Linked DNA regions of Ovis aries. The protein of the gene in region 1 interacts with the protein of each later gene in a pairwise test. Links are inferred from orthologs where the notes say so. Each region holds a gene or a part of one and is shown on either strand. Other genes may lie near its edges.

The links. The genes of interacting proteins can lie anywhere in the genome.
Region 2: the proteins of ZBTB43 (region 1) and PSMD3 interact in binary tests that used the Homo sapiens proteins (3 or more experiments, as listed by UniProt). The two-hybrid records come from large-scale screens. The link is inferred for Ovis aries from reciprocal best matches to the Homo sapiens genes ZBTB43 and PSMD3.

The regions. Positions count from the first base shown.
Region 1 is NC_056056.1:9,310,366-9,314,449, forward strand, and holds the start of ZBTB43 (zinc finger and BTB domain-containing protein 43), read right to left. Parts: upstream 2,808-4,084; 5' UTR 2,688-2,807; intron 1-2,687. UniProt on the Homo sapiens protein: May be involved in transcriptional regulation.
Region 2 is NC_056064.1:40,071,217-40,074,820, reverse strand, and holds the end of PSMD3 (26S proteasome non-ATPase regulatory subunit 3), read right to left. Parts: intron 3,304-3,604; coding exon 3,189-3,303; intron 3,087-3,188; coding exon 2,967-3,086; intron 2,633-2,966; coding exon 2,529-2,632; intron 2,304-2,528; coding exon 2,148-2,303; intron 1,221-2,147; coding exon 930-1,220; coding exon of another isoform or gene 911-929; 3' UTR 525-910; downstream 1-524.

The sequences.
Region 1 (4,084 bases):
CATTTTCAAAGAGCTTGTTAGTTTCAGGAATCTGCATTCAACAACTTTTTTGGTACTGTGGTAAAATATACTTAACATAAAATTTACCACTGTGACCATTTAAAGTTTACAATTAGTGGCATTAAGCACATTCATGCAGTTGTGCAACCATCACCATTATCTGTCTGCAGAATTTTTTCATCATCCCAAACTAAAACCCTGTATCCATTAAATAATATTCCATCCTCTCCTCCCCCTTGATGTTGAGCAGGGCCCTGTGGGGCTCCAGGACACTGAGGTCTTTTTGTCCTCCATTTCTCATAGGCAAGACTCCAGCCTCCACAACGTTCTTAGTTCCAAAGGGCAGAACAGTTGCTAATTAAGGGAGGAGCAGCCAAGAAATCACCTGAGGTAAGATTAAAGGGACCAGAGAGGCTCATCAAGATTAGGAGAATGAACCCAAGACCCTGCTTGTGTGTTTGTGCTCAGTGACCCTGCAGAATAGATCCCACTAGGCTCCTCTGTCCATTGGATTTTCCAGGCAAGAATACTCGAGAGGGTTGCTATTTATACCCCAAGGGAATCTTCCCAACCCAGGGACTGAACCCAAGTCTCTTGAGTCTCCTGCATTGGCAGGTGGATTTTTTACCACTGTGCCCCCTGGGAAGCCCACCTAAGACCCTGCACACACCCTAATCTTGTCAGCAACCCCGCCCTTTTGAAACTTTGCATAATAATGCAAGACTGTTACTGCCTTAATCGTATCACACATCCCAGTTCAGTTCAGTCGCTCAGTCATGTCCGACTCTTTGCGACCCCATGAATCGCAGCATGCCAGGCCTCCCTGTCCATCACCAACTCCTGGAGTTCACTCAGACTCACGTCCACCGAGTCAGTGATGCCATCCAGCCATCTCATCCTCTGTCGTCCCCTTCTCCTCCTGCCCCCAATCCCTCCCAGCATCAAAGTCAACTCTTCGCATAAGGTGGCCAAAGTACTGCAGTTTCAGCTTTAGCACCATTCCTTCCAAAGAAATCTCAGGGTTGATCTTCAGAATGGACTGGTTGGATCTCCTTGCAGTCCAAGGGACTCTCAAGAGTCTTCTCCAACACCACAGCTCAAAAGCATCAATTCTTCGGTGCTCAGCCTTCTTCACAGTCCAACTCTCACATCCATACATGACTACTGGAAAAATCACACATCCCAGTCTGACTATATAACCTCTCTCTATTCACCTGGGAGTGGGGCACAGCTCTTGAGGCGCTAGCCGTTTGCCTGGCAAAGCAGTAAAGCCACTCTTTCCTTCTCTTCCATGACTCTGTATTTCTGTTGGGCACTGGTGCACAGAGAGCCAAGATTTTGCCAACACCCTCAGCCCCTGGCAAAACTATACTCCACTTTCTGTCTCCATGATTTTGCCTATTCCAGATACCTCATTTAAGCGGACTCATTCAATATTTGCTCTTTTGGGTCCAGCTTACTTCTCCACTGAATACTTTTGTAGAGCAAAGAATGAACCCCAAGCGACTAGGTTTCTCACAATTTAACTGTACATAGTGACATGATCTTCAAACTAAGCACACAGCTCTCCCAGAAATCCTGCTACTGCCCCACGAGCCCCAACGGGCAGAGGATCTCTGACAGACCCTTCCTCAGCCTGTACACAGGCTTGGTTAGGCAGTGGTAACTCAGAGAGCAGGCTCCTTAGAACCCTGGAAGGCACGTGAATGGAGCAAAGGGAAGTAAGAGTCGGCAGTTCTGAAAAACCATGGGTAAGAAAAAGTAAGGATTCATCAAGCTAATTTAGCTTGCAGATGGCCTTCTCTCTGTCCTCCAGAAGCTCCTACACCCTGACCGTTTCGGCGACACCTGTCAGAGCTGAGGTCAGACTGCAGTCTAGCCTCTGATCATGTCACCAGTGTAGGAAGCTTCACAGGGTCATGAGTCACCTGCCATGGCTGAGAGGTCCGGGCAGGCCGCCCCGCCCAGAGAAACCTCTGAGGAGAGGCAGAAACAAGAGAGAAAGACACACGACTGGCAGAGAAACACAGAATGAGTAAAGAGCTGGACCGACAGGCAGGCCGTCAACCAGAGTAAAGACTAAGAGGGAAACACAGGGTCAAGGGACACAGAAGGTGGAAACAGAAATGAAGACAGGACCCAAATACTCGGAGTTGGGCTCGAGAGAAACACAAAGCTGACAGAGGCCGAGTTAATAGGCATAAAGGGCAGGCGATGACAGGTGACAGACAGCAAGAGAGGTGAAACGCAGAGGTAAAGAGACCAGGATCAGCGAAGTCCCAAGCGCAGTCTTTCTCCTGGCTTTGACTCAAACGAGAGGTCGCCAAGCCGCGCCCACTCCGCGCCCCTGAAAGGCCGGAGGGGCGGTCTGACGGGGGAAGAGGGGGTGGCGGGATCTCTAAGCGCTCTGGCCCGCCGAGGTCCGTCACCGGAGGGTGACCTTGGACGAGACTCTGCCTCGGGGGCCTCGGTGTCGCTGCACGAGCTCCGGGCTGGCCAGAGACCGCAGAAGTGGGACCCGGAGCGCCGGGACTCCAACGGTCCCGCGTGCGGCTTCGGCATCCCGGTCGGCGTAATGGGCCTGACGGTGTCAGCGGTGAGCGCGCCGGAACCTGGAGAGAACCCCTCAAACCTCTCCGGTTTCCATTCCTGCCCCCTTGCTACGCGTGGTCCTGACTCTGCCATACCTGCCAAGGGCTCGGCGCTCACATAGCCCGCCGGTGGGATACTTTCCGCCGCAGCCGGCGCCGGGCCCGCTCAAGCCGTAGCTGCCGCGACCGCCTCAGCCTGCGCCTCCCGCCTCCGGAAACGCTTACCGGTCCCCCCCGCAAAACTGCCAGTGCTTCCGGGGGTGCGTCTGAGAGAAAGCGATGTGCGCATGCGGGACTCGCATTCGGGGCGGGGCGTCAGGAGCGTGCTCCGAGAGAACCCGCGGCTGCGCAGTACAACCCGGAGCATGTCAGTCTCCTGTAGGTACTCTAGGGCCAAAGCTGACATTTGCGGAGAGGAGTGCTAAATAATCCAAGTCTATGCCCCAACCAGTAACGCTGAAGAAGCTGAAGTTGAACCGTTCTATGAAGACCTACAAGACCTTTTAGAACTAACACCCAAAAAACATGTCCTTTTCATTATAGGGGACTGGAATGCAAAAGTAGGAAGTCAAGAAACACCTGGAGTAACAGGCAAATTTGGCCTTGGAATGCGGAATGAAGCAGGGCAAAGACTAACAAGAGTTTTGCCAAGAAAATGCACTGGTCATAGCAAACACCTTTTTCCAACAACACAAGAGAAGATTCTACACATGGACATCACCAGATGGTCAACACCAAAATCAGATTGATTATATTCTTTGCAGCCAAAGATGGAGAAGCTCTATACAGTCAACAAAAACAGGACCAGGAGCTGACTGTGGCTCAGATCATGAACTCCTTATTGCCAAATTCAGACTTAAATTGAAGAAACTAGGGAAATCCGCTACACCATTCAGGTATGACCTAAATCAAATCCCTTATGATTATACAGTGGAAGTGAGAAATAGATTTAAGGGCCTAGATCTGATAGATAGAGTGCCTGATGAACTATGGACTGAGGTTCGTGACATTGTACAGGAGACAGGGATCAAGACGATACCCATGGAAAAGAAATGCAAAAAAGCAAAATGGCTGTCTGGGGAGGCCTTACAAATAGCTGTGAAAAGAAGAGAAGCGAAAAGCAAAGGAAAAAAGGAAAGATACAAGCATCTGAATGCAGAATTTCAAAGAATAGCAAGAAGAGACAAGAAAGCCTTCTTCAACGATCAATGCAAAGAAATAGAGGAAAACAACAGAATGGGAAAGACTAGAGATCTCTTCAAGAAAATTAGAGACACCAAGGGAACATTTCATCCAAAGATGGGCTCGATAAAGGGTAAAAATGGTATGGACCTAACAGAAGCAGAAGATATTAAGAAGAGGTGGCAAGAATACACAGGAGAACTATACAAAAAAGATCTTCACAACCAAGATAATCACGATGGTGTGATCATTCACCTAGAGCCAGACATCCTGGAATGTGAAGTCAAGTGGGCCTTAGAAAGCATCACTAG
Region 2 (3,604 bases), on another chromosome or scaffold:
TATGCTGCTGGAGCAGGTGGGCTGGGGGCCACAGGGAGCCCCCTTGTGCCCGACCACTCCTCCCTGCCCTTAGGGAGGAGCCCATCCTCCCCTCTCAAGGGCCAGCTGGGCAGGACCCTGCTCCCAACATGGTGCAGCCTTGCTGGAGACCCTTCTCTCCTCACTCAATCTCACCTGAGGGCCAGACTCTCACATTTTGTTTGATTCATTGGAAGCCTAGATTCCTCATTTTAGAGCCAGGAGATCACTGAGTATAATCATTTATTTGACAGATCTGGCAAAGGAGCCTGAGAGGTTTAGAGAGTTGCCCAATTATTTGAGAGCCAGTTAGATGCGAAAGAGTAAACCCAGGCCCTTCTGACCCCAGATCAGAATCTCTTCACCCAGCCCCTGGCCGCCTCCTCATCTACAGCTGCATCAGGTCCTCAGATCATGCCTGGGGCTGGCACTCCCAGGCCAGGAGAAAAATCTGGGCCTGTTAACACTGTACCTGTGAGGGCAAAATAGAGTAACTGATACATAAGGAGCTTTGGAGAACTTTTTATTGTTTAAAAATCATAATTGAAGCTTCAAAAAACATACAGCCTAACACATGTCCCAGTTCCGGTGCCCTACTCCCTGGAGGAGGGCACAGGGCTAGTCCTTCCCATCGTGCTGCCCACACCACTAGCCAGGACCCTGCCCTGGGGAGGCTGCCCGCCCGCCCGCCTGCCCCCGTGTGCTAAGTCACCGGCTGAGGAGGGGCCCTGGGATGAGGTAGGGTGACCGGCTCCCTGCACCCCTCACCCCCTGCACATAGCAGTCTGTGTGCCCCATGTGGGAAGAGGAGCCAGTTCCCTGGGCAGGGGACCCCCATGGGGGAAAGACAGAGCCAGTCCCCACTCACCCCACCCCTCCCCAGCCCCCCAGCTCAAGGGAAGCTGTCGTCGTCATCTTCTGCCATCTCCTTGGCAAACTCCAAGTCCTGCTGCTCCCGCTCTCGCCGCTCCTGGGGAAGAGGACCAGGGGGCGGGGGGGCTGAGGACCAGCCTGGGGCTCGTGGTCTGCACCCAGTCCGACCCACCCAGGCTGCTGAGGACCAGCCAGGCACTCACTTGGTCTGCACCCAGCCCGACCCACCCAGGCTTTCCAGAAACTTCCCCTTCCACCCAAAGCAGAAAGCAGCTTACCTCTGCAGACTCCAAGTCCTTGTTGTAGGATTTGGGAGGAAACCTCATGGCCTGAAGCACAATGGAGAGAGGAGTGAGTGAAGAGGAGGCAGGCACCTGGGCGCTAGGAAATGCACCGGACAGGTGACACTCCTCAGTTTAGTCTGCTGGGGCATGGTGACTAATGACCCGTGACACCACATGATAAACACTAAAAAGAAAATCCAGAGGGATAAACGACCAACCCTCTCAGTCAGGCAGGGAGGCGGACTGACAGTGAGAAGGAGGAAGAATGGATGGCCTATGGAAGCGGAAGGAAGGGCATTCTAGGCAGACATTCAAGGTGTGAGAGGTTAGGCTGGAGCTCAGTGGGGCCAGCTGGGAGGAGGGGAGAAGGGGGGGAGGGGCTGACGGGAGCGGTCCTGGGGAGTGAGGCTAGAGACACAGGGGACCAGTCACAAAGGGTCTTTCATGCACAGCGTTTGCCTGATTTCAGACAAAGTGATATGCCTGGTTTCCTGGGGGGAGAGACCAGGAAAAACAGTGTCCGACAGTACCAGCACCTGACCCACAAGGGCTTAGGAGCCTTTTGTGGACCAAGATGGTGGTCCCACCCTTTACACAATTCAAACTTAGCTAAGTGCCCCAAGACAGTGATTTCATCCAATCTCGACAACTCTGTGAAGCAGGCAGGGCAGGTAATACCTCCCTATCAGTCTCACAGATGGAGACATGGAGACTTCACAGAAGGTAAACGACTCAAATTTGGAACCAAATCCAGAACCGCGCACTCTAAACCCCAGTCTCATCCTCCCTGGCAACCAGACCCTTTAAGTGCACAGAGGCATTGTGGTCCCACAAGCCAAGTCCTTTGCCCCTCCTGGACCCCCAGTGCTTTAGAGACTGGGAGCCGGGCCCCAAACCAAACCGGTCTTCGCTAGGAGCCTGTGGGTGTGGCAGCGTGCTGCCCAGCTGGCTCTGCAGCTCAGGGCCCCTCACCTTGACAGACATGTTGTGAATATCCAGGCAGAAGGAAATGCGCTGGTGGAAGGCCAACTGGGGCTCGCGGGTGGAATAGATGTCAATCATCTCCTTGGACTGGACGTAGCCCTTCTCGTGGTTGATGCTGGCCTCAATGACGCCATCTCGAATGGCCTGCAGGCCCCAAAGGGAGGAGAAGTCACCAGAAAGTCCATCTTCTAAGTCTGAGAACATCCCGTCTCATCTCTTTGTCCTCGCTGATCTCTCCTACATTCATTCACACAGACACTCTGGCAACTTCCTGGCTTCACTGTAAGCTGGGCATGCCGCCGCTTTAGCCGTCAATCCCCTCCCACCCCGCGCCTGAAACAGCGTCTGCGGCCCCCGAACCAGGCCCACCTTGGCGACAATGAACTCTGCATCCTCTGGGCTATCAAGCTGCAGCTTCTGGGCGATGTCCGCCAAGGAGATGCGGGAATAGGAGAGGCTGATCATGCGCACACCTGGGAGGAGGGGCGCGGGGACGACAGGCTGGGCACAGACCCTTCACCTGCCCGGGCAGCCACAGTGCTGTCCCAGCCCCAGAGAAGCAGAGTCCCAGTCCTGCTTCCAGGCTCCCTCAGACCCTGACCCACACTTGTCTTTTTTTTTTAAGTGATCAGGTTACCTTTTCTTTTTTCTAGTTTGGCTGCACTGGGTCTTTGTTACAGTGCAAGGGCTTCTCACTGCAGCGTGTGGGCTTAGCTGCCCCGCAGCACGTGGGACCTTTGTTCCCTGACCAGGAACTGAACCCGCGTCCCCCACCCTGGAAGGCAGATTCTCAAGGCCGACCCACACCTGTCTTGATGACGTTGTGCCGCAGTCGGATGATGAGGGTGTAGGTCCCATCTGCTTGGAACTTCTCCCCAAACTGATCCAGGACCTGGTTGAACTTGGCTAGGTTTCCTGTCCTGACAGCTGCGGTGGGGAGAGGAGTGGGTCAGATGCTGCCCGTGGCGCATACACCAGAGGGGACACAGTGCTGGGGGGCGGCACGCCCTGGGAGGGGACCAGCCTTACCCTGGGTCAGAAGGAAGTAGGGCATGAGTGAGCGCTTGAGGGATGGTTGACGGAACTGCAGCCGGTCTGGGATCTCCCCCAGCAACAACTCCACCACAATCAGAAGCTTGTGCACCTGGAAGGCAGTGGGCAGGGAGCCCACAGGGTGAGAGGAGAAAACCAAGGGGGCTTCAACTCAGCCAGACACACAGGAAAAGAAGGACGGCGGCACTGGACTGGGCCCATGAGAGAGGAAAACACCCTCAAGCTGTGCTGCATGTGGAACTGAGGCTCTGCCTTGGGATCAGGCCCTGGGAGCCTCTGACCCTCTGACTACACCAGGCCCTCAGCTTCATTTCACTTAGCCAATCAGTGCACAATGCTCCAAAACGGCAAAGCTCCAAATTACAGGCTGGATGGGCAGGTTCTATGGCTCA